Linked DNA regions of Ovis aries. The protein of the gene in region 1 interacts with the protein of each later gene in a pairwise test. Links are inferred from orthologs where the notes say so. Each region holds a gene or a part of one and is shown in the gene's direction. Other genes may lie near its edges. The genes, in order: NUDT21, ATXN1, TRIM27, CEP126, MYL6 and RBM48.

Region 1 (3,500 bases):
CATTCTTACCCAAAGATTTATAATCAAAGGCTGCTTTCTGTAAGTCTTATGATCAAAGGGTTACAAGGTGATACCTGTGATGAAATAAGAGTTTTTAAACTATTTTTAAGGAAAAAATATTTACTAGGCAAGAAGAAAACTTTTCAATATGTTATATTTTGAATACTTGATAAAAAAGTAGAGAATGTTTATATTACACCTAGTCAGCAAAAGATTCAAATGAAGAGAAGGGAAGAATAAAGATACTGAATAGAAGAAATGCAGAAGGCTCAACATCTTAGAAGGGAAAGAAAAGTTCATCTGAAGAAGAAAGTTACCAGAAAACTCTGATGATAGTTGACTGGGACAAATAGAAAATAACTGGGGAGATTATGGAAAGTGGTGGCTCAGTTTGTAGAAAAAAACATCAGCCATTAGCACCCATAATTAATAGAATTTATGATTAGATTGGTAGAGGAGCCCAAGGGCACATTAGCCAGGTTGACAGTGTTAGCATCTAAAACTAGAGGATTGCCAGTTATTCAGATAGCCACTACTCTGTGCATTAAGAGCTTTAAGGATATTGTCATCTATACTTGACCTGAGCTGGTGGCTCAGACGGTAAAGCGTCTGTCTACAATGCGGGAGACCCGGGTTCGAGCCCTGGGTTGGGAAGATCCCCTGGAGAAGGAAATGGCAATCCACTCCAGTAGTATTGCCTGGAAAATCCCATGGACAGAGGATCCTGGTAGGCTACAGTCTATGGGGTCGCAAAGAGTCGAACACGACTTCACTTCCCTTCACTTCACTTCATCTATACTTGACAGTTCAAGTAGGAAGTAACAGCTTGAGCTAATGAAAGTTCTGGTTTTAGAGGCCAGAGAGCTAGATTCTAATCTCTGCTGCTGCTGCTGAGTCACTTCAGCGTGTCTGACTGTGCAACCCCAGAGATGGCAGCCCATCAGGCTCCCCCCGTCCCTGGGATTCTCCAGGCAAGAACACTGGAGTGGGTTGCCATTTCCTTCTCTGCTCTCTTATTAACTAGTTGTTTAACTTTGTTCAAATTCTTTGTCTCTAAGTGCAATATATATACACTTTTTACCAAGGTTTCTTTTATGTGATTGGTGTCTGTCCTACTAATTTGTGGTCTACAGTTCTCAGATGTCTGTCTTTGGATCACAGGTACCCTCTTACCAATTACACTTTTGGTACAAAAGAGCCTCTCTATGAGAAGGACAGCTCTGTTGCAGCCAGATTTCAGCGCATGAGGGAGGAATTTGATAAAATTGGCATGAGGAGGACTGTAGAAGGTGTTTTGATTGTCCATGAGCACCGGCTACCCCATGTGTTACTGCTACAGCTGGGAACAACGTTCTTCAAATTGTAAGTGTCATTGGAAACGAACAACTTTTAATAGGATGGCTGTTTTATGCAGCTTTAATACAGCTTTAGCTTTTAGCCATTTGTCTCAACAAACATGGCTGTTACTGGAGTCTTGGAAGAGAAACTCAAAAGCATTTTTTTTCTCCATTGCAGTGTTCATTTATGAACACTGTGGTCTAACTAGAATGGTCTAACTAGAAATCTGCATGTTTCTCTGTATTGTTGATGCTAATGACTGGGCTTGAGAGAAGCCCTATGAAACAAACGAGTCCAAGTTCAATTTCTAGACGTCTTTGAAGCATTACTGAGAACAATTGATATTATTTCTTGCTTAGGATCAATAGTGTTTCCTGTTCTTAAAATGCTTTACATTTTTATAGATTGTTTAGTTTTCTCATTTACATTTATAAATCTCTCGGTATGTTTAGTCCACAACTGTTTGACTAGATTGTACCAAAAAGAGTGTTCTCAAATACTTAGTTTGGAATTCTTAAAAAATGCTGCATTCTTCTGATCTAGAGAATGTGGGTCCACTGCTTTCTCAGCATTTCTAGACTCCATTATCACTAGATAACTTCCAAAGAGAAAAAATTGGGATGTACTGGTTTCCAGCAACTATGTGATGTTTATGTTCTGGTACATATTTTAAGACTAGGGTTTGTCTACTGTGAAACTCATGAATGGACATGAATTCCGTTTTCTAGCACATTCTTCCCCCTCCATTTGACATTTGTTTGCTTTAATTGCCTTATGTAACACCGAAATGTGTTACGAAGCTACTTGATAGAAATAGTAATTATTGTGTTTTTCCTGTTAACCAAAATTGTTAATACAAGTTGAAAGCTGAAATTTTAACCTTTATACAGGCCTGGTGGTGAGCTTAATCCAGGAGAAGATGAAGTTGAAGGACTAAAGCGCTTAATGACAGAGGTATTTTTCTGTTTAACCACTTTGATGATTTCATTAATGCTCATCTAAATACCGTCAACTTAATGCATAGTCAGATTTTTGTATGCCTTGAAAAGGATGAGTTTATTTTAAATATTTAGTTTTCTATAAATAAAACATAAATTCGGAGTGTTAGTACAATGTTTATTTTCTGTAAGTTGAACTTATACTTTGTCATAGCATTATTTTCCATTGAAATAGTTGATGTAGCAATAATGGTTAATAAAACAACATTTACTGAGTATTGACTGTTAAGCAATGTTCTAAGTGCTTTACATGTAATAATTTATTTAAACATCATAATAGTATTAGGAAGTGGGTGCTATTAATCCTGTTTTACTGATAAATTAGGGCACAAAAAGTGCAAGTAGCTTCCTTGATGTTTTACAGCTAGTGTGTGGTGAAGCTGGAGATTTGAATGCAGGTAATTTTATTCCAGAGTAGGTGTTGGAATTTTGACAGGAGAATGATTCCTGTTACATACCTATTTTCATTTTTGCACATACCTTTTAGGCTTTGCCCAGGTTGTTACTTTTTAGAAGCTCTTCTAATGTCTGTCTCTAAAGACTTGGGGCCAGATGCATATAGATGCTGGAGGTTTTTGAGATTGTAGGCTGTTTCATTAATAAATAGTTTTCTTTCTTAGCATGCAACCCCCGTTAGTTACAAAACTCGTACATATTCTGTGCAAAATCCTTGGCAAATACAGAAAGGAGACAAAACTAAAACCTGTATTTCTTCCACTTTGACTTGTTTTTTAGTATTTCTAAAATGCAGTGTTAGTCTTAAATATTCTGCTGTGTTTGAACTTTCATTTATATACGATAGATTGAATCTACCTCAGCTTATATACGATAGATTGAACTTACCTCAGCTTTTTCTTATAACTCCACCAAAAAACATTAAAGGGGTTTTAGAAAGATAAAAGTCCAGTAAGTTGATGGAATGTAAAATGAGACTGTAACAAGGAAAAAGTGTTTGAAGGTAGAAAGCAGATGAGCGAATCATAATTGACTTAGCCAAAACCTCAGCCTCCCAGAAGGGCAGTCAAGGACCCAGCACTCTAGAACATCAGAAAAGCTTAGGAATTGGGGGTACTTGTGAAAGAGGGGGTGTGCATGGACTGAAAGCTGAATTGACTGGCAGTGTGCATAGGATTATTGATGTACCTAGATCATCTTCCCTACTTT
Region 2 (4,250 bases), on another chromosome or scaffold:
TAGTCATACTGGACATAGGGTCCACCCTAATCCATTAAGACTTTATCTCAACTAATTACATCTGTGCATGCTAAATCACTTCAGTCGTGCCTGACTCTTTGGGACCCTATGGACTCCTCTGTCCATGGGATTCTCCAGGCAAGAATACTGGAGTGGGTTGCCATACCCTCCTCCAGCAGATCTTCCCAACCCAGGGAGGGTTGAACCAGCGTCTCTGGTGTCTTCTGCATTGTAGGTGGGGTTTTTTTTTTTTTTTAATCACTAGCGCCATCTATGTGGAGAGACTCTATTTCCAAATAAAGCCATACTCCCTGCACTGGGGACTAGATGTATCTCTCCGGGAACAAAATTCAACCCACAACAATGGGAACTCTCACGGAGAACTGACTAGTGAGGGGTGCCACATAAACGGAGCGATAAAAGGAAAACAGTGACATGTGAAATTGTAAGTGGAGGTCAGACGGGTTTGGGAGTAACAGGAAATATTAGATAAGAGACGCTCTCATTTAGGAGACTCTTTCCATCTGTGCTTACGGCCCTGATTTTTTTCTTTTCTGTCAGAGTTAAAAAAAAATTGTATAAATAAAAAGAATAAGAAAATAGCACTTCGCTGACTCACACATTGGGCAGAACCACAAACTCCTGTGATAATCAGGAAAGACTTCGCAGAAATGTTGGTGCTTGGGTTGGATCCTGGAGGATGGGAATAAAAATTGCCCTGCAAAGAAGGGCTTCCCAGGTAGGGAGAAAGTATATGGAAAAGCACAATGTTATTTAGGCGATCCACCCTTTATGCCTTAAGTAGGGTGAAGAGTCTCTGTAAGGAAGGCCCAGATTGTCTGCTTAATCTCTGTTACTAAGAAATGGTATTAAAGAAAGGAAGGGGCAGAGATGTTTCTGGTTTTGATAAATGCACAAATCAGCTCACAGTAACCTGAAAGAACACTAGGAGCATCTCTAAGGGGGAGTTCGTTCTTGGACACATTTGCCAAAGCACAAATATGGAAACCCCGCCCTCAGCCAGATCCGAAGAAATCAAAAGGCTGATGTGGTATAAATTCCTCTGCCCTGATTGCATAAAGGAGATGTGCCAACATTTTTTTCTCTGATATATTCCTTTCTGCACAGAGAGCTCAACTGGATTCTTAAAAACCTGATCGTGAACTGAGATAGGCAATTCTGAATCACCACCAGGATCTAGGAAAATTAACTCCTCACTGATCTTCCTAGATAAGCTCCCAATCTCGCTGCCTCTCAGATCAGCACTGGGATCTGGCGAGGTTTCTGCCACAGAGCAACTCCCTTTTTTGGCATAAGAATGTACAGGATGCCAGTAAAGTTCACGCTGGGTCATCTAAGTCTCTTTAAATGCGCGATGATTCATTGCTGGGGGTGGGGGCGAGAGGAGTGAGGGGGAAGGAAGTGCTGAGCTGAGAGGCGGAGCGAAGTCATTATGAAATTGACTGCAGAAAAGCTGGCGCTGGGAGTGCTGGGGTCACATGGTCTTACTATTGGTATTTCAGCTACAAGTTTTAAACCAGAGATAGGGGGAGGGGTTGGGAAGCATCACCTTGAAGCTTGATCGGCTTTCAGAGGAGATGCCTCCGTTGATGGCTGGCATGTTGATTAGAATTACAATGGGGGTATTAATTTCTCTTTTTATCTGACAGAAAAAGAAAAGTTCTCCCATGACAGTATGGCTAGCAGAACAAGAATCTGGCTGTAAGTGGTGTAAGTGAACCGTTTGTCTTTTTCTGCTTGATTTACTGGCATTCTAGCTGACAGGGTCCTCCATTCTGTGCGTTCATTTTTGTACTTAAAAAGGGATTGTTTGTAATTTACAGTTGAAGTCTGAGTGCTATTAGTCTGCTCGGTCAGCATGGATAGCAGGAGCAATCGCTCCATGTCAGTGCCAGGGCGCAAAGCAAATTTGGATCTTCAGTGGTCAGTCTTGAGAGCTCCCCAAAGTTACCCAGCAGTTAAACTCTGGAGCGGCCCTGAAGCACAGGGCTTCTGCAAATAACAAACTGCCTGACAAACCCTGCTGAAATCCTGACACGGACAGTTTCCTCTAGTTGTTTATGTCAAAAGGCAAAGTTTGCCAATGCATTTTTCTCTGGCTCTTCCTCTTTGGGGTAAACTTGGTAAATTCCTCATAAAATAATTGTCTTAAACTCTGACCTGCATTTGGATCAGCTTTTCCTAGCCAAAACTGACTCAAGAAAAACAAAGGCACGGTGAGAGCTTATAGCTATGTATTTTAATGTCTTGAAGTCAGAATAACAATTTGATGGCTATCATTGTCCCTGATCTTAGTTTGAAGGCACCACAAGCTTTACCTTCACAACCCATCAACTGCCTCTATCTTAAGTGTAAACAATGGTGGCTTTGGGCTTTGGTTTTAATTTGGAAAATGTATTTCTTTTGAGGAAACAAAATGCCAAGTTGTTAATGACGTGTTTTTAATAGATTTCCAAATGCTCCTGGCCAATACTGAGCAAAGTTCAACTCACTCATTCTGAGCCTTAAAATGTTGTTCAATTTCATGTAAGAAGAGCTATGTTCTATAGATGCATAAAACCACAAATTCTGTTATTTTATAAGTCACTGCAGTACATTCAATGTTGATAATAGTTATATTGATGAAAATGTATCTAGGTCTTGCTTGCAAAATAAATGGTAATGGTTAAAATTCATCTCATTTCCTTTTGACATATGCTATTGTAGTAAATATATTAGAAATTGTTTAAAAAAAAACCCACAGATTTCCTTTTGGCTTTGATTTGTTTTCTAGGGAAGCAGTAACTGTATACTTTTCATTATCCACACCTAAATGGCCTAAAGCCATTTCTTATTAAAAGATGTCACCCTCAACCATTCAGCTGTCACTCCAGAAAGCGTGTGCTTTCTAAAACACAGAACGAGTTTTCCATCAGCTTCCCAGGGTGGCAAAGTATCTGAAGCCTGTCCCTACCCCACCCTGAGAGACTGACTCTTAACAAATTTTTAGTCTAACATAAAGCCTAACAAATTTTAAGCCTAGCATATCTCAGGATTATGCCTTTACCAACAGCTTACTCTCAGAGATATTTTAATAAGGGGTAAAGTGCATGTTGGGCTTCCCAGGTGACTCAGTTGGTAAAGAATCTGCCCACAATGCAGGAGACCTGGGTTCAATCCCTGGGTCAGGAAGATCCTCTGGAGAAGGGAATGGCAACCCACTCCAGTATTCTTGCCTGGAGAATTCCATGGACAGGGGAGCCTGGCAGGCTACAGTTCGTGGGGTCCCAAAGAGTCAGACATGACTGAGTGACTAACACTCACTTTTCAAGGGCAGTGTTATACACTGCAAGGGGGGAATCTCAGGAAGGTAGAAAAGTAACCAAATCACCTACTACACTACTGCAATAAGATCTCCAATTATGGTTCTTAGAACTAATTCCTGCACCTCCCCAGCCCCACTGACTTTACTAGTGCTGTGCATTAGAAGCATAATGGACACATGTCATTGTAAATCTTATAGTAGGCACACTAAAATGTAAAAAGAAACAGGTAAGTTAATTTTAACAATATTTTTATGTAACCTAATATATGTAGAATATTTTCATTTTAACATTTGATCAATATAAACATTGAGATACTATATGAACTTATGTGTATATATGTGCATGTATGTACATGTTCTAAGTCTTTAAAATCCAAGGTATATTTTACAATTACAGCCCATCTCAAGTGCTTAACAATCATATTGGACAGTACAGACCTATGCTAAAGCACTTGTTTTTGTTTTCACTGTAGACAGAATCTTATTTAAAATTGCCTAATATGTGTACTATTAAGTCATAAACTGTCAGCAGATGTTTAAACACAATGATTTTAATTTCACTCTTGACCATTGCTGATGTCACTTTCATTACCCAGAAGCCTGTGCTGCTACAGTCTGGTGGAGGGTCAAGAAAGCTGATTCAGAAGCATGTCTTTTAAGAGTCTCCATGCCAAGGACAGAGCCCAGTGACTTCAGTTTGGGTGTGGTGAGTTGACCTCAGAGTCTATTGTGTGAGTGGTTTTCACTTTTGTTTTTAGTTTATTTTACTTTTCTGGTCTCTCAGCTTTATTTGGAAGTGCAGTCTAAGGAAAGCATATTGGTTTTGTAAGCACGCTATGGTTTGCTCAGATTTTTAAATGATATATATAGGCTACCACTCTCCTTATAATACCATGGTTAAAGAACTGTCAGTGTTTCCACCAGC
Region 3 (4,136 bases), on another chromosome or scaffold:
CTTACCAACTGAACAACTGTGATGAAGATAAGCAGTATGCATAGAATGTGACCCTGGAGTCATTAAGTTAATTTTTAGTCTAATAATCCAATAAATATTGAAATCCTTTCATATAATTACATACAAGGCATAACAGCAATCCAGGAGGTCTGGAGAGAAGTCTCTGTCCTCACAGAGTTACTGAAGTATCGGATCTGTTTCTTTGAAACATTGTGTAAATAGGTTAGAGAAAAAGAGTATAAACAAGGAAACTGGTGGAATAGGTCACATTCAACCAGTTACTAACTCATTTAAAAAAGATTTGTAAACTGACATTGTTGAAATCACTTAGTTCAAAATATAACAATGGAAATTAAAATAAACACAGGCAAGGCTGTCCAAATTCAATTAAGTTTAGAGGATGAAGGACAATATCGAGAAAATAGCAAAGGAAAACAGGAAACACCAAAGTAGGGATGGGCGAACAACGCAAAAATTTTGTAAGTTTGTTGGATAATGAAAACAGCCTGTGTTACTCACAGGATTATCATTCCCCCTATACTTCGGGAAGGAGCAGGCCTGTTTAGTTCTATTCAGTACAGCTCTAGGCACTAGGTGTTTTATTAATGAGCAAGCATGTTTAAGTTCTATTTAGTAGTTCTAGGCAGTGGGTATTTTATTATTTTAATGGTAAACCTCCTTAGGGTTAAAAAGTTGTACGGAGCTGGGGTATAATTACTCCCGTTTCACCAGACAGGAAACTGAAGCTCAGAATGGTAGACCACTTTGCTTAGGCACAGTAGGAAGTAGCAGAACTGGGCTTGCCTGTTTCTGTCACAGAAATGTTTTCATCTAATAATTAATCCTTTCTTTTACGAAACGCAACTGCGAGCGCCCGTCAATGGGGTTGTTTGATAAAGTTCCTCACAGACTGGGTGGGGCTGAGTCGGCTACTCCCAGCCCTCTGGCCTACCGGGGAAGCCAGATGTCTCTTCTTCCCACACCAACACAAAGCCAGCTTTCTCTCGCCGCGGCAGAGGCCTGAGCACCAGAGAAGAAACCCAACAAAAGACCCGGGATCCAGGCCCAAGGCCCAAGGCTCGGCGGGGGCGCCCGGAGCGTGCAGGCAGGGGTTATCCTGACCCCGCCGCACCCCGTGGACACCGCCTGCCTCTAGGACCCGTACCCAAGGAGCTTCCGCCCGCGCGTTCCGCCCCCGCCCTGGCGGCGAGGCCTCCCGGGTTCCCTGTGAAAGAATCCGTCCAGGCCTGAGGCCGCAATTTCCAGCCTCACGAAGGAGGTCCGGCCCAGGCCCCGCCCCCGGGCCGCCTCTTCCGCTCGCGCAGGGGTGGGGTCTGCGCGGCCGCTGGGATCGGCTCCGACGCGGCCACGTTGTCCTGCGCGTTTTGAGCGCCCGGCTCCGGGAGTCCGATCGGCGGCGATCTTGCTGTCCCTTCACATAGTCGCTGGGCTCGGTGGGGCCGCGGTACCCCCATACTCCCTCCGCCCGGCGCAGCGGCTCAGGGAGCGGCCCGGCCACCCGCCGTTCCAGCGCGCGGGCGCGTCTGGGATCGGCCCGGGAGGCGTCGCCCTCCGTCAGCCCGGCTGGCCTTTCCGCACCGCCCAGAAACAGCGGACGGGAGGGAGCGCAATCGAGTTGGGCTCCGCGCTGGGCTGGGCACCGGGGCCCATGCCCGTTCGCCCCCGCGGGCCCGCGCCATGGCCTCCGGGAGCGTGGCCGAGTGCTTACAGCAGGAGACCACTTGCCCCGTGTGCCTGCAGTACTTTGTGGAGCCCATGATGCTCGACTGCGGCCACAACATCTGTTGCGCCTGCCTCGCCCGCTGCTGGGGCGCGGCGGAGACCAATGTGTCGTGCCCGCAGTGCCGGGAGACCTTCCCGCAGCGGCACATGCGGCCCAACCGGCACCTGGCCAACGTGACCCAGCTGGTGAAGCAGTTGCGCACAGAGCGGCCGTCGGGGCCCGGAGGCGAGATGGGCGTGTGCGAGAAACACCGCGAGCCCCTGAAGCTGTACTGCGAGGAGGACCAGATGCCCATCTGCGTGGTGTGCGACCGCTCCCGCGAGCACCGCGGCCACAGCGTGCTTCCGCTCGAGGAGGCGGTGGAGGGCTTCAAGGTGAGGGCCGGGCGCGCGGGCCGGGGAGGGGCCGGAGCGCGAGTTGGACAAAGGGAGGAGAGAGCCAAAGGGGCTTCCTTTTTTCCGCCTAGAAAATGGCTGAGCCGGACGTGTGGTTCACAGCCGTCATTTCCTCTGTCCGCTCCAGAGCCTCGGCACTCAGATTTGGGAGGAAAACCTGTAGCTGGTGATGAAGCCAGAAGTCTCCCCACCCTCATTGCGTATGTGCCTCTGTGTTTACCCTCTCACGGGCACATTATACATGACGGCCCATGGAGACCCCTCTTGACTGTATATAAGATATCTGTAAAACCACGTACGCAGCGACAAGCTTCAGAGACGCTCGCATTCCTGTTGGCTCCTAGATGATCTCAGACAAAACACAGTCGGACGTTGCCCGGCTGTATTCACATCAAATAGATGCCCATCACCTCTCCTTTCCCCCAGCACTTCCCTGTGCTCCGTCCTCTTCTAGAACCTCCCGGAAAAGAACAAGTTTCTTACTGCCTAAGTCATTTAACCACTGTGCGACTCATAGGAGATAAGACTTAATGAAGACTGAGTGAAATAAAATGCTGTGTGGATTCCCTTGTGCACCAACAGATTTGTACAGCTCAACGATAGCATGGAAATAAAGTATTAAATATAAAATAGTTGTAAGACAACATTCAAGGTGTGCACATAATCTGTGTATGAGGACTGCAGAGAACATCCACACAATTATGTACATGTGTAAATGTGAGTATGTTCATGCAAAATTATTCACTGAACATTTATGGTGCTTTCAAAAATACCATTTTACTCACACCGAACACTATTAGGTTGAGAAGGTGGTGTTGGTTCATGTCACACCAAGGGAAAATAGGAGAAGTTAAGTCCTTTTCTCTCCTTACCTGTCCCTGAAAGCTCGACAACTAAAGCCTTCTAGTTTATTCACCTTTCCACTAAGCCATGCGGTATCCTTCCAAAGGCAGGTAGGTGACCCACCATTTAAGATACAAACTACCAAAGGAGAGGTGTGGTGCCACAGTGATGGCAGTGTGATCCAAGGACAGGCTCTCACCAAGAACTTGGCATCGTGAATGTGGGTTACACAGGTGATAAGCAGAAGAGTCACACTGCTAAGGCCTGCCTTATCTTGAGCTGTACATCTGTTTTTGCTTTTTCAGGAGCAAATCCAGAACCAGCTGGACCACCTAAAAAGAGTGAAAGACTTAAAGAAGAGGCGAAGGGCACAGGGAGAGCAGGCGCGAGCTGAACTCTTGGTGAGGTTCCTGAGAATTCGTAGATAATATCGGTTCTTCTGGTCACTCTCTTATATTGTAAGACTTGTAAACTTCCCTTAACCTTGTGCAGTCAGATCACCCAGAACTTATAGGTACGGGTGGAACAACCTTACATGGCAGTTAAGAATTCACCTGGAGAACCAAGGGATTCCCACATCTGGGGGGAAAAGGATGGAATAGTCAACTTTAAACCCTTGGAGATCTGACCTAGCAAAAGTTTAATCTGCTAGCTTTGTGCAGATCAGGGTTGATTCTGGTGAAATTCTTGAGCATTGGTTAGCAGCCTTTTGTATTGTTCTGCAGACAGATGCTGGCAGTGGCTTTCCATAAACTTGACTGTTGCTTCTTGTTGGAATGTTCTTTTTCTTGGCAATGATTCTATTCTGAACTTTTCTCTTTGTTCCCTTCTCCTAGTTTCCCAAGGCCTTTGTGGTAGGGATATTTGGGGGAGAGGGTGGTTGTTCTGGAAAAAATAGTCCCTTACCTTTCTGTAAAGGACTAGAGAGTAAATATTTTTGGCTTTGTGGCCTATACCTCTACCACAACCAGTCAGCTCCCTTGTCATAGCTCAAAAGCAGCTAAAGACACCATTTAAATGAGTGGATCTGTTTCCCAATAAACTTTTACTCCAAGGGAGTAAACACGGGAGTTTGCTGACCCTTTATTCTGAAATAAGCTTTTGTGGAGTCTCTCAGTGGGATAAGTGGTGGAGAAGGAAGGACAGATAACCTT
Region 4 (4,274 bases), on another chromosome or scaffold:
CTGACTCTTTGCTACCCTATGGGCTGTAGCCCACCAAGCTCCTCTGTCCATGAGATTTCCCAGGCAAGAATACTGGAGTGGGTTGCATGCCCTCCTCCAGGGGATCTTCCCTACCCACATATCCTAAGGCTGCTGCATTCCAGGTGGATTCTTTACCACTGAGCCACCAGGGAAGACTGCCCTACATTGCTTTTTCTCTCTCAAATTGGCTCTAGAGAAACAGACTTGTGATGATAGCCAGTGGGAATAGAATCAATGTAAATTCCTGTGACTAAGTCAGTTAAAAATTTGCAAAGATAGCTAATCCTCCTAGTGTACACAGTTAGCCTTTCTTTGCCAAGATTACATATTGTGTCCTCTTGGCATGGTCCTGAAGAGGGCTACGTGCTCTGTGTTTTAAGTAAAAACTCAATTTGTTGTGGCAGTTTTAATCAGAATACATTCCAGTTTGAATCATTGCATCCAACTTTGCAAAAACTCTGTTTTAAATAGCTTCAACTGGAAAAGTTTATTATTTTGAACTCTAAAAATGAACAAATTGATTCACAAAGGCATAGGCATTTGAATGGTGGTGAGTGATTTTCATTTGGTTTATACATTCTGCTTCCAATATGGGAGGTTTTTCCACACACACATTAAAAAAAACGCTAAAATATACTCAGAATTCACATGTGTTTTTACAATGAATTCCAACAAAAAGTTCAGCCTTTTTTCAAATTTTTTTAACTTGCAAAAGTTCTGAACTGATGGCTCAAAAATCCATTCGATTTTCCATACCTCCTGAAACAGTTTCAATATGATGATCTCTTTTGGCATGTCTTCCCAGGAGATTACTAAATTAAATCTGCACTACTTTCCTGGCCGCCGATGCTTTGATGGTCTATTTCCAGAATCTGGCAACAAGGCTGGCACCATTAAAAGTCTTTGAAATGCAGACCTTATAAGTAGGGAAATGGCAAGGAAGACGACTTGCAGACGGAATGGCAGAAGCATCAGGGAGGGAGAGATGGAATGCAGAGAAAGGAAATTTCCACTCCCAAAGCTTTTTAAAAAAGATGGTGATTGGGAACAGTGATGCTCCAGAAAGACAGAACTTCAATCACACAACAGCACTCGGCAGTTAAACAACAAATTCTACCCTGAATTACCCCCGGAGGAAATAATTTCAGAATCCCCACGGTGGCTTTGCGAATATCTGTGGATTTTTGCATCTCGCTGTCTTTCATCACTCTTAGTAACCCCACGAAAACAGCCTCATAAAAGCGAGGTGGAACGGAGTCAGGTTCCGAGGCACAAGTCAGCACGTCCTCCTGAGAGGACTTGTGTCCCCGAGGAGGCAAGCTTCCTGGCCGCCGCCCGCGGGCAACTCGGGGGTTGGGGGGCGGGAGGCGGGGCACAGGGGAGAGGTCCGCGCCTCCTATTGGCTGCCTCCAGGGCACCGCCCCCAAACCCTGGTCGCCGTCGCGAAGGACGCGGCGTCGGTTGCTTGTCAACATGGCGGCGGCGTCGCCACCTCTGCCGTTTCCAGGCAAGGTCGCCGCTGCGGCAGCTGCCGTCGACACCACAGCCGAGAGCGCCGCTGTGCGGGAACCGGAGCTGCGGCGGCCAACTTTCCCGCCTCAGTGACGCGAGGCTTGAGAGACGGAGTGCTGGGAGGGCCGAAGGAGGCAGCGGGAGCTGCCATGAGGGAGGCTCTGGGGGCTAGCCGGGAGGCGGCGCTGAGGTGAAGGATGCTGACCAGGAGGCCTGGAGCCCGGAGCGCGGTGCCAGGACTGGGCGCTGAATCCTCGGACACCCACGTCAAAGCCCCCCTCAGCCCTCGCTTGAGCGGCGGGCGTCACCGACCTGGCGCCTACCTGTATCCTTCCAGCCGTGGTTGCCTGGGTGGCGGTGTTGGAAGTGGGGAACCCGATCTTTTTTCTGTTCTGTTCCCATTATCACAGATGCTAGATGAGAGAAACCGGCCAGTCATCTTAATGCGGGTATTTGCTTCGGCAACTGTCGCTGCTCCCCTTAAACCTGAAAATACCATCTTCTATTCTAGGACCACTTTCCCGGCCACCTTGTTATCTCCCCCGTTTTCAACTTTGCAGTAAAAAAAAAGAAAAAAAATTTTAATGAGTTTTGAAATGGGTAAACGTGTTCTCTGGGGATTGTTTTCTTGTAGAGTTAGGCCATTATGTTCTTTGCTTCATATTATCCATCTCCTGATAATTCATGCTGCTTGGAGAAAAGAATGCCGCAAGTAAATAAAATGTTTTGGTCTCCTGAAATAGTCCGTCTTAACAGTTAACCTAACACTTCATTTATCTTACAGAGCTGCTAAAGCCTAACATATTTGGTTAATTTGTTTTGTTTTCCATCCTCTGCCCAGTCTGTTGTCAGAGAGACAACAGACAGAAAATGAGAAGCAAAGGACCTGGAGCCTTTGCACAGGTTTATCACTGACTTGTCCCTACCTAAGAATTGGTCTAGCCCACCTTTGACATTATTATTGGTTGCATTGTAGAAAATTGAAAGTGTTATACAGTTCTGTTTTCCGAATATGTAAACCATGTTTATTCCTTCAGAGAGTGTTATGACAATTAGAGTGTAACCTTTGTATTCTCAGAGGACTTGGTTGGTAGTGGTGATGCTGTGTAATCATCTTCATTCTTGTCAGAGAGTCTCTGCTTTTCAAATTAATTCCCACTTTCTTATTGTCTCCCAGTTCTGGGAGTTGCACTTTTAAAAGCAAGTCAACAAGCAATTTTCATTTAGTGCCTCCTTTTTTGGCTAGGTGCTTGGGATACAACTCTAGTGAGGAAGACAGGTACATACAAAGCTTAAATAATGGTAAATATTCCTCTTCTGATCATGCTTCCTCAAGCTTGTATCCCATCTTTTCTTGCTTTAGTTGACTTTTCAGAATGCTAACCTGCAATGACAGCTTCTAATTCTTTTCATCTATTCATTATTAACTCCATTCACTTTGGCTTTTGGCCTTGCCGCTCCTCAAAACTATCCTGATTCAAGGTGTAATCTGAAATCAACCGGATTGTTTTCAGTATGGATTTGATTCTGCCCCATTGACATTGTGTTTACTTGAACCCTGAACTCCTATTACACTGACCCTGATTTATCTGTAAATCAGAAAATAGGGAAGCACTGTAAGTGGCTCATTGACAAGGTGTATCTTTCCATCATTTTCATTAGTGAAATGATCATAGACTTAATATTTTTAAATTTTTAAGGTGTGAATGTTGATACAACAAAGGAAATAGTTGTAAAATAAATTTGGCAGTACCTCAAATGAACAAAACCAAATAGATATAATTCCAGAATTATAATGTTGGTTTCCTATAAAGAAATGTATTACTAAAAATTTACCTAAATACTAAATATATAGTTAAAACTAAGAAAGTTGTAAATAATCATTTCAATAGATACCCTGAGCCTTTGCTAAAATCCAACAACTTTTGCTAGTGTATGTGTGTGTATGCATCTATATGTATTATATATAATATACATTTTTTCCTAGTTTATACATGTATGAAAGTGAAAGTGAAGTCGCTCAGTGGTGTCCGACTCTTTGCGACGCTGGGGGCTGTAGCCTGCCAGGCTTCTCAGTCCATGGGATTTTCCAGGCAAGAGTACTGGAGTGGGTTGCCATTTCCTTCTCCAGGGGATCTTCCCGACCCCGGGATCGAACCTGGATCTATATAGTTGCCAGTAAATCAAGAATATCATTGTTACTAGTTGGAGAAACACTTAAGCGCTTGTGTCATATTGTACGTTTTCAGTGTCTGTAATGTTTCATATTGGATACCTGGTACAGAGTAGGTGTGCAAATTTATTAATAACTAAATTTTAAAAAATGAGCTGTGGACTTAAAATAAGAAGTGGCTTGGTAAAATTTCTACATGTGACTTCTGAATATGAATTCAGTACTCAGAGGCTGTATTTCTCTACTCGAATTGGAATTTCCTAACTCTAAAAGCTATGGAAGAACAAAACTTCATGAAGTTTATCTAATTAAAATTAGATGAAGTTCTATAATTTCAACTTCTTAAAACAATTCAAAAGAAAATAGAATAAAATTTATTTTCAAAAAAAGGAGGGAAGTTCTCTCATGTCCCCTTCACAGTATGCCTCCTTTTTTCTCACAAGTATCTCCAGTCTTTTCCCCTTCCATTTTATCCTAGCGTCCACCTTGCCTCTCTTTATTCCCTACCCAGTTTAAACCTGTTTTTAATTATCTACACATATTCTCTCAACAACATCCTTGGTTTTTT
Region 5 (3,950 bases), on another chromosome or scaffold:
GGAAAGGGAACGAGGTGGGAAATCTGAGTTTCAGTCTTAGGAAGAGATGGCTGTACTCTATGATATGGTCTGTTTTTTAATCCTCTGGAATTCAGTTTCCTTGTCTGTCAAAGCTTTCACCACCTATAATTGAGGTGAAATGGAAAGCAAGATTCAGAGACACATTCAAGGCATGCCCACTACAAAGAGGGAATTCTCTTGGGGGACTGTTACTATGGGCAAGTCTCCAGGGTGGGAGAAGAGGAGGTGCCACCAGAAGAAAGAGGCATGGGTTGATAAGGGAGGGAAGGCAGGGGCTAAAACACTGTGTCTGGGCCCAGGAGAGAGGATGACTGAAGAGGAGGTGGAGTCTGTTTTGGCAGGACATGAGGACAGCAGTGGCTGCATCAACTATGAAGGTGAGGGGCCAGAGGAGCAGAAACGACTGGGGAAGAGGGAGGCAGGAGGCCCGAGGTATGTGGGTGGAGGCATCCTGAAGCCTGAATTATCTAAAGTCAGATGGGTTATCATCAGGCCAGCTTCTGAAGCCCCTCTTGCCTCTTCTCTCTGCAGCCTTCCTGAAGCACATCCTAAGCGTCTGAGCAATGCAGGTACGGCACTCTCACTGCGCCTTGGGAGGCAAGCCTCCTTCTTGTCCCTCTGCCTGCGTACAAAAGCAAGGAAGTGCATTTCCGTGTCTTGCTGCGCCGACAGCGGCAGGATTTGGCAACGTTCATCTTTTTCCACAGGTGCAGTGGCGTCGGACGCTGGGCTCCCACCAGGCAAAAGCACGTTCCTGCCACTAGGAGGCTATTGTTTCAAAATAAAGAGACGTTTCCTCCCTTAGCTTCCGACTCTTGCTTTCTTTAGAGGTGGGGGAGGGAAAGGGAGGGCTCCTCTTCCCACCCGCACCCACCAATGCGACCTCCTCTGACTTTCTCGCTGCTCGGAGGAGCAGATTCCTTGCGCCCCATTCCACCTTGTTCTGCAGTTTCTGTGCCCCAGGTAGGGCTATTCTGGAGACTTGAACACCAGTTGGCCCCCGCCCACTTTATTACTAATATAGTAGCGTCATCTGCATAAACCCGGGCCAGGATCCCTATTGGTTGGGTCAGCTGGGGTGACGTCATTAGGACGTACTAAGACTAGGGTTGGGCCAGGAACCGGAGCCATTACTGCAGGAAAAGGTCCCGTAGAGCTGAGCGTCAAGATGGTGGGGCCCGGGGCCGAGAGGATGAGCGGGATTTGGGGCGAAAGGCGGGAAGCCGGGGAGAGGGGGCGGGGAGAAGGCAGAGAGTAGCGGGTAAATGAACCTGAGGCCCTCGAAGGTTGGAGGTGGGGTTGGAGTGTCTGGGATCCTACCCTGCTGGGAAGCGAGTCCCCAGCATGGAATAGGAGTTTGTGATTCAGAGTTCTTGGGACTGGGACGGAAGCTGGGGGTATTGGAGTTAAGATGCTGACCACTCTCGTCTTCTCTGAGCAGTGTGACTTCACCGAGGATCAGACCGCAGGTAGGTAATCGCTGACCTCTGTTGAGGTCATGTTAGGGAGAGGGACACTCCCTCTAGCTCTTTCACCCTCACCTGTCATCTCTTTAGCACCCCCAGGGGAGTACCTGGTGGGTTCCCTTCTCCTTCCTTCTGGATCTTCCATTTTCTTTTCTCACTCTTTCTTCCTCCCTTCCCTTCTACTCTAGATCTGATCCCCAAGCACTGGGTGAGTTTTAGGTGATGTGGCTGTGTGAAACAACTTGATCACTAATGCCTGCTGTGTGTGGGGCTTGGGGACGGTGTATTAAGCTGTTTGTGCTCCTGTGTTCCTTAATCAGCTACTTCTGCCTCTTTTCCTCCTGTGGTAACTACCCTGTCCCCTCAGCTTGGAATTGTAAAGGCTGTAAACAGCAGTGACCTGTTTTTTTGTGAAAGTGCAACAGGGGAGTTTGCTGAGGATACTTCTTTGTAGCAGTACCCTCTGAAAGGACCCTGTACTAGAGGGGTGAGAAGTGGCAGGCTGGGATGACCCCAGTCCCAGGCCGCTGCTCCCACTTCCTTATAAGGACAGGGCCCAGACAGGGCGGTGGCAAATTCCTGCCCTGAGTCGTGTAATGAGGAGGCTGGGCAGGCTTGCTGCAGGCGGAGAGGGTATGTAAGTGGCCGGAACCACTCTGCTAAGCGTTGAGGAAGGCCAGGTCTTTATGTGAGACACCTGAGTTGGGAGGAAGGGACACTGGATCCCTCTTACAGGGGTTGGGTGTACAGTGTTATAAATATCTGATTTCCTCAGCATGATCAAAGTTGAATGGGCGGTGGGGACCATGGAGGAGGGTTTGGGTTAACATCTGTGTGTCCCATACTGATGTTTATCTGGATCCTCAGAGTTCAAGGAGGCCTTCCAGCTGTTTGACCGAACGGGGGATGGCAAGATCCTGTACAGTCAGTGTGGGGACGTGATGAGGGCCCTGGGCCAGAATCCCACCAACGCCGAGGTGCTCAAAGTCCTGGGGAACCCCAAGAGTGATGGTGAGGGTCCTTAAGAACAACTCTGCACTGTGGTGGGGCCCGCAGTCTTCAGCTAATAGCTTCCTTTTATCTTCCTAGGCCCCAAACACGAGCGGGTCTTGTCTGGCAAATCCCACAGATTTCTCCTGCCTGGAGTGGGAGCCCCTTAACCCCCAGTCCTGAGAACACATATGACTTAGCTTCCACCTCCTTTTCGGCAGAGATGAACGTGAAGGTACTGGACTTTGAGCACTTCCTACCCATGCTGCAGACTGTGGCCAAGAACAAGGACCAGGGCACCTATGAGGACTATGTTGAAGGCCTTCGGGTGTTTGACAAGGAAGGGAACGGCACCGTCATGGGTGCTGAGATCCGGCACGTTCTCGTCACACTGGGTGAGGCTCTGCCCTTTCTTCTTGAGGTGCCACCTGAGAGACCTCGGTGTCACCCAAATCCAGAATGCTCGCTCTTCCTTCCTCTCTGCAGGTGAGAAGATGACAGAGGAAGAAGTAGAGATGCTGGTGGCAGGGCATGAGGACAGCAATGGCTGTATCAACTATGAAGGTGAGGGATGAACCGGCGGTCTCACGGAGGAAGCAGCCATATGGGGGCAGGTCATGCACCGCACTGAGGGCTTTCCCTGTCCCTGGATTCAGGCTCCTAAAAGTGACAGGAGGCAAGGGGCAGGGCCCAGCCCCGCCCAGGAATGGGAGGCCAGAGGGGTGTGACAGGAAAGGAAGGGCTCCTGTGGCCTGAAGGGTGGGAAAGGGATGGGAAGTAAAAATGGATGTCCAGTTCCTCACTGCCTGACCCCTTCACCCCACGTCTATGTCTTGTCTTCACCATGAATGTCTCTTCCTTCCTGCAGCGTTTGTGAGGCATATCCTGTCGGGGTGACGGGCCCATGGGGCGGGTACGGCTCCTCCCAGCCCCCCTTCTCTAGTTGACCTCCCCAGTGTTTTTTTCCCCAGCCTCTGCTCTCTAGCCCCTGCCTTCCTCTACTACCATCTGACTTCTTCCCGGCATGCCTCTGCATGGAGCTGACTGGGGAGGGGAGGGGTTCCTCAAAGAGGCAGACAGCCTGGGGGTGTGGCACCTCCTCCTCTCCTAGAACTGGGTCTGAGGTTTGGTTGGCTTCCAGGGTGCTGGTGTCTGGGAACTCACACCAGCCTACCTACCCCCGTCTGGCTTCATGGTGATCCTTTAGCTCAGGATCACGTGGTTGGCAGGGAGGGTGGGTTGCCTGCCCCACCGTGCTGCTGTAGGTCTTCTCTTCTTTCCGCTGGGCAGCTTGGAGATACCCTAACCCAAAACTCTGTCTCCTCCTCCCCCCAGTGGCTGACAGTAGCTGTAGGTGTAGTTGGGAACTCTTCTGCCTCTGCTGTGTTCTTGCTGCTCGGGGTGGGGCAGGGGGAACTAACAGCTGGTGGGAGGGGAGCTGGGGGTCGAGAGTACTGCAAACTGACCCCAAGG
Region 6 (4,276 bases), on another chromosome or scaffold:
TTACATCCCTTACATTAGCCAGAGGATTCTTTACCACTAGCTGTCACCTGGGAAGCTCCAAGAGACTCTCTATAGTAAAAGCAACAATGGCAGGATCTATTGAAATTAACATGCTTTGAAAGACTGGGGAAAAACAATCTAGAAAAGTAGTTAAAGGCAAGTAGCTAAAATGGAGAGGTGGGATATTTAAAATTATTGCAAACTCCTAAATATTTCCTGCAAGGATTAGCCCGTAGTGGGTACTGTGCATCCAGGATTTTCAAAGATTTCAAGTATTCTTTTTGTCCTCATAGCACACTCAAACTGGTAGACCAGGTGCCCCTATTTTATAATTACGAAACTAGGGATGTGGTTAGAACTATGAACTACCACAATCACAATGTCCAGAGGGCAACTAACTGCAGAGGTCCAAGTATGCATAATCCCACTGCACGTTCCGGGCACACCTAGGAGGTATTCCGAGCAGCGGAGACGCAGCGAGAACCTTCATCTTATTAACCTATCTCGCTCGCGGCTCAGTCTCTATTAATTTACAGGGACTCCTGGGCCACAGCCAGGCAGGCGCACCTGGAAACCACTGGCAGGAAAAACGTTTTTTACGATCGAAACAAAACAAAATCCGCAGACAAACCCGACTTCTCCAAAGCTTTTCCAACCTGGAGTGAGGAATAGCTGAACTCAGAGAGAAAATTATCAGGATGTTTGAGAGCCCAGTTTCACCGAGTGAAGACCTGGAATACGTACGGCAAGTTAACGCAAAGGCCCGGGGCTGCACCCGACGTGGTAGGGCTGCAAAGACCGCCCGGACCGGCCCTGCTCCAGAGCGGCCCACGTTCTGGCTGATGAACAGGTCGGCGGCGCGGGGAGAGCAGCCCGCGTCCCGCCGTCGGGAGACGCCCGAGCGGCCGCTGCGTCCCGAAAAGGCCTGGGTCCCGGGCGGCCGCAGACGGCCCCCGAGGAGTCCCGAGTCCGGGCTGGGGAGTCCATGGGGCGGGCGCGTTACCTGGAGCAAGTGCAGCTGGGCCACTAGGCGCCGCGGCAAGTGAAGGAAGCAGTCGCGCGTGCTGGTGAAGGCCACGGTCACGGCCGCCCCGCCAGCAGCACCCGCCAGCCGACCGCTGCCCCACATCCTCCGCCAGCGACGGCCCCGCCGGAGGCCCACCCCAGCGGACCCGGGCTGCCTGCGGACCGAGGGTGACCGGGCCTGCTACGCTCGATCGGCCCCGCCCCCAGGCCCCGCCCCTCGCGCCCGCCGCGCCTCGGGAGCTGGAGCGGCAGGCCAGCCCAGTCCGGCTCGCCGGGCCTCTCCGCCGCGCCGCTGGAGGGCGGCAGCTCGCTCGCCGCCTACTTGCTCACAGGAAACGATGGCCAACCCTGTGGCTCCTTCAGCCAATCTCGGCGCGCCTTGACCCATCCCTCTCTCTGATTGGGTAATCAGGAGGGCAACAGGCGGATGTTGTCGTCTCTGCGAGGGCCAAAGCCGGCAAGATGGCGTCCAGTGGAGGGCAAGTTGGGGGCGTATTCGATCACCACGTCCAAAGGGCTGTGTGTGACTCGAGAGCCAAGTATCGGGAGGGCCGACGGCCTCGCGCTGTGAAGGTAAAGTGATTTTGGTTTCATTCGTTGTCGTCGGTAGCTTTATGTAAGCTGTAGCTTCACACGCCCAGTTAATGTAAATAAAGTCTTGAAAGGCTGCGGTCACATCCATTTGCTGGAGATGAGTGTGAGGGACGCCGGTACCCAGGTAGCAGATACTCTCGCGGCCTCTTTAGTCAACTGTTGGAGCTCCGTGAAAACGGGGTATGTGTTTTAGTCGTATCTTCCGTGTTTACAGTAGTGAATATTTAACTCTTTCCTGTAACATTTACCGAGGCAGCTTCTGAAGACATGTCGATTGGAGGTAGTCTATTATGTGCTTTAGCTCGAAGCCCTCACATGTAGGGTGACTTATTGTTTCTACAAAGAGAAGGGCAGATTAAAAACAAAAACAAAAACACCTTTTCTGCAGACCTGAACAGAGTAGTTCTTGTTTTCAGGGTTTTTGTTTGTTTGTTTGTTTTGAATAGTAACAGGTTGTCCTAGGCTTGTTTGTGAAACACATTTAATGCGTGTGCATTTCTTTTAGGTCTATACAATCAATTTGGAGTCTTGGTACTTATTAATACAAGGAGTTCCTGCCGTGGGAGCAATGAAGGAATTAGTTGAGCGATTTGCTCTATATGGTGCAATTGAACAGTATAATGCTCTAGATGAATACCCAGCAGAAGACTTTACAGAAGTTTATCTTATTAAATTTCTCAATTTACAAAGCGCAAGGTAATATACAAGTCAGGCAGTGTCTCATTTCCTCTGTTCCCATTGCTATCATTTTGGCCTCCCTCATTCTTTCATGAATTACTCAGTAATCTAACATGGCTTTTTATTTTTCTCCAGTATTCTTAATGTAAGTGTTAGCTTTATCAAAAGTCTGTCCATTAGGTCATCCCCATGTGTAACCATTTTCTGTCTTGTAGTGTGGTAGATTAAAAACTGGGTTTGGACTAAGTTTTCAGGTTCCACTGCTTACTAACATGATGACCTTGGACAAGTTATTTAATCCCATTAAACCTGTTTTCCTGTCCTATAAAATGTGTAAGGATGAAATGAGATAATCCATGTAGAGGGCTTAGCAGATGCCTCCTGCTCAGAATGCGGTAAACAACATTAGCTGTTAGGTTTCTTGTTATGCACCTATATGAATTGACCCCATCTTTTTTTTTTTTTCTTCTGAATAGCATAAATCCTCTGCTGTAGTAAGGGAAATATGAAATGCCTCATCTTATATTCTTGTCACTAATTTGCTTCAAGACCCATCCCTTCCCTGGCTATTACAATTCACATTTTCTGTGCTACAAACAGTACTGGGGTATATGGGTCATATATTGTTCTCCAGTTGCTCTTATGTATAATCTCACTGCCCTAACCAACTTGCCAGCTCCTCATGGTTAGGGAAGTATATTTCCTTATTGTGTATTCATTCCATGAAGCTTTTGCATCTCCCACACCCCTTTTACAGTGTGACATGTGGATTTGAATCCTGGCTCCACAAACCAAGGTGAGCTTGGACAAATAATCTCCCCATGCCTCAGAGTCATCATAGGGATGTTGAGAAGTGTGATTTCAAGTGAAGCATTTAGGCCACTGCCTGGCACATGGTAAAATCTCAGTGAATATTTCTTACCATTTACCTTGGACACAGAAGTACTTAATTTCGTAGTAATTCCTGGCCAGTCATAGATGTTTAGTAAGTATACATTAAATGAATACTATCCTCTCCTTTTCTCATTTACTGTTATATATTTGTGTTTTCTCCATTATTAAATGTTTATAATTGTAATATTTTTATTAATTTCTTATCTTTGAACCCCATTATAGGAACACATTGTGCTAAAAAGGCTAAGCTGGGCATGAGCTAATTTTTGAGGGCCTTTTAACACAGAATCTCTATTTCATGACCACAGATTGTGTACCTCAGGCCAACCAGCTGAATCTTATGTTGGTTAAAGGGAGTCTGGATATGTTTGGAAAACTTAGCTTAAAACCTATGAAGACTCTTGGGAGAGGGGGAAAAAGGCTCTGAAAGAATATGCAGTGGATCAGTAGGGTCAATACCATTCACGTGCAGAGCATCGCAGCTCCGAAGCTATAGGATTTATGTATACAACAAAGTCTGGACTTTGCTTTTTAGATCAATGCATTGTATGCTGGTTAAGCTTTCACCCTAAGTAAACCATGGTATCGTGAATTTCTGCTTAGGATGGCCAAGAGAAAAATGGATGAGCAGAGTTTCTTTGGTGGCTTGCTTCATGTGTGCTATGCTCCAGAATTTGAAACAGTTGAAGAAACCAGAAAGAAATTACAAGAGAGGAATGCTTATGTAGCAAGAATGACTAAAAATAAAGGTATGTAAAGCCTACTACTAAACACCTCCAATGTGTCAGGCATTTTGCTGAGTTTACCCTCCTAGAGTTTTCCCAGTCTAGTGACTATAAGCTACGAAGTTTTTTCTTTACAGAATGTTATGTAATCTTGCCTGGGAAGGGATAGATGTTATTTCATGGAAGATTCCTGCAGGATGAGAATGGTGGCTGAGTTCTGAAGGGAAAGTAGACATTACCCAGAAAGGGAGAGGAACAGATGGAAAGATGGGCCAGAGGAATAAATGAGCGTCATGCATTTTAAGGAACTGTGAGTAATATAACCACAACACAGCAGCTGACATGTGAATCTGAGATAA

What was found.
Region 2: the proteins of NUDT21 (region 1) and ATXN1 interact in binary tests that used the Homo sapiens proteins (3 or more experiments, as listed by UniProt). The link is inferred for Ovis aries from reciprocal best matches to the Homo sapiens genes NUDT21 and ATXN1.
Region 3: the proteins of NUDT21 (region 1) and TRIM27 interact in binary tests that used the Homo sapiens proteins (3 or more experiments, as listed by UniProt). The two-hybrid records come from large-scale screens. The link is inferred for Ovis aries from reciprocal best matches to the Homo sapiens genes NUDT21 and TRIM27.
Region 4: the proteins of NUDT21 (region 1) and CEP126 interact in a two-hybrid assay, tested with the Homo sapiens proteins (2 studies listed by BioGRID and IntAct). The link is inferred for Ovis aries from reciprocal best matches to the Homo sapiens genes NUDT21 and CEP126.
Region 5: the proteins of NUDT21 (region 1) and MYL6 interact in binary tests that used the Homo sapiens proteins (3 or more experiments, as listed by UniProt). The two-hybrid records come from large-scale screens. The link is inferred for Ovis aries from reciprocal best matches to the Homo sapiens genes NUDT21 and MYL6.
Region 6: the proteins of NUDT21 (region 1) and RBM48 interact in a two-hybrid assay, tested with the Homo sapiens proteins (2 studies listed by BioGRID and IntAct). The link is inferred for Ovis aries from reciprocal best matches to the Homo sapiens genes NUDT21 and RBM48.

The regions. Positions count from the first base shown.
Region 1 is NC_056067.1:23,688,617-23,692,116, forward strand, and holds part of NUDT21 (cleavage and polyadenylation specificity factor subunit 5), read left to right. Parts: intron 1-1,161; coding exon 1,162-1,362; intron 1,363-2,228; coding exon 2,229-2,292; intron 2,293-3,500. UniProt on the Homo sapiens protein: Component of the cleavage factor Im (CFIm) complex that functions as an activator of the pre-mRNA 3'-end cleavage and polyadenylation processing required for the maturation of pre-mRNA into functional mRNAs.
Region 2 is NC_056073.1:39,589,813-39,594,062, forward strand, and holds the start of ATXN1 (ataxin-1), read left to right. Parts: upstream 1-1,450; 5' UTR 1,451-1,731; intron 1,732-3,921; 5' UTR 3,922-4,031; intron 4,032-4,250. UniProt on the Homo sapiens protein: Chromatin-binding factor that repress Notch signaling in the absence of Notch intracellular domain by acting as a CBF1 corepressor. Binds to the HEY promoter and might assist, along with NCOR2, RBPJ-mediated repression. Binds RNA in vitro.
Region 3 is NC_056073.1:29,117,412-29,121,547, forward strand, and holds the start of TRIM27 (zinc finger protein RFP), read left to right. Parts: upstream 1-1,336; 5' UTR 1,337-1,698; coding exon 1,699-2,118; intron 2,119-3,287; coding exon 3,288-3,383; intron 3,384-4,136. UniProt on the Homo sapiens protein: E3 ubiquitin-protein ligase that mediates ubiquitination of various substrates and thereby plays a role in diffent processes including proliferation, innate immunity, apoptosis, immune response or autophagy.
Region 4 is NC_056068.1:6,579,997-6,584,270, reverse strand, and holds the start of CEP126 (centrosomal protein of 126 kDa), read left to right. Parts: upstream 1-1,474; 5' UTR 1,475-1,730; coding exon 1,731-1,858; intron 1,859-4,274. UniProt on the Homo sapiens protein: Participates in cytokinesis. Necessary for microtubules and mitotic spindle organization. Involved in primary cilium formation.
Region 5 is NC_056056.1:163,379,480-163,383,429, reverse strand, and holds the start of MYL6 (myosin light polypeptide 6), read left to right. Parts: upstream 1-1,150; 5' UTR 1,151-1,189; coding exon 1,190-1,192; intron 1,193-1,462; coding exon 1,463-1,490; intron 1,491-2,354; coding exon 2,355-2,498; intron 2,499-2,698; coding exon 2,699-2,872; intron 2,873-2,963; coding exon 2,964-3,041; intron 3,042-3,345; coding exon 3,346-3,374; 3' UTR 3,375-3,950. Other genes in the region: MYL6B (myosin light chain 6B), read left to right, coding at 321-398, 553-581. UniProt on the Homo sapiens protein: Regulatory light chain of myosin. Does not bind calcium.
Region 6 is NC_056057.1:10,622,525-10,626,800, forward strand, and holds the start of RBM48 (RNA-binding protein 48), read left to right. Parts: upstream 1-1,476; 5' UTR 1,477-1,488; coding exon 1,489-1,599; intron 1,600-2,125; coding exon 2,126-2,316; intron 2,317-2,322; exon of another isoform or gene 2,323-3,020; coding exon of another isoform or gene 3,021-3,094; intron 3,095-3,795; coding exon 3,796-3,941; intron 3,942-4,276. Other genes in the region: peroxisomal ATPase PEX1, read right to left, coding at 1,004-1,129. UniProt on the Homo sapiens protein: As a component of the minor spliceosome, involved in the splicing of U12-type introns in pre-mRNAs.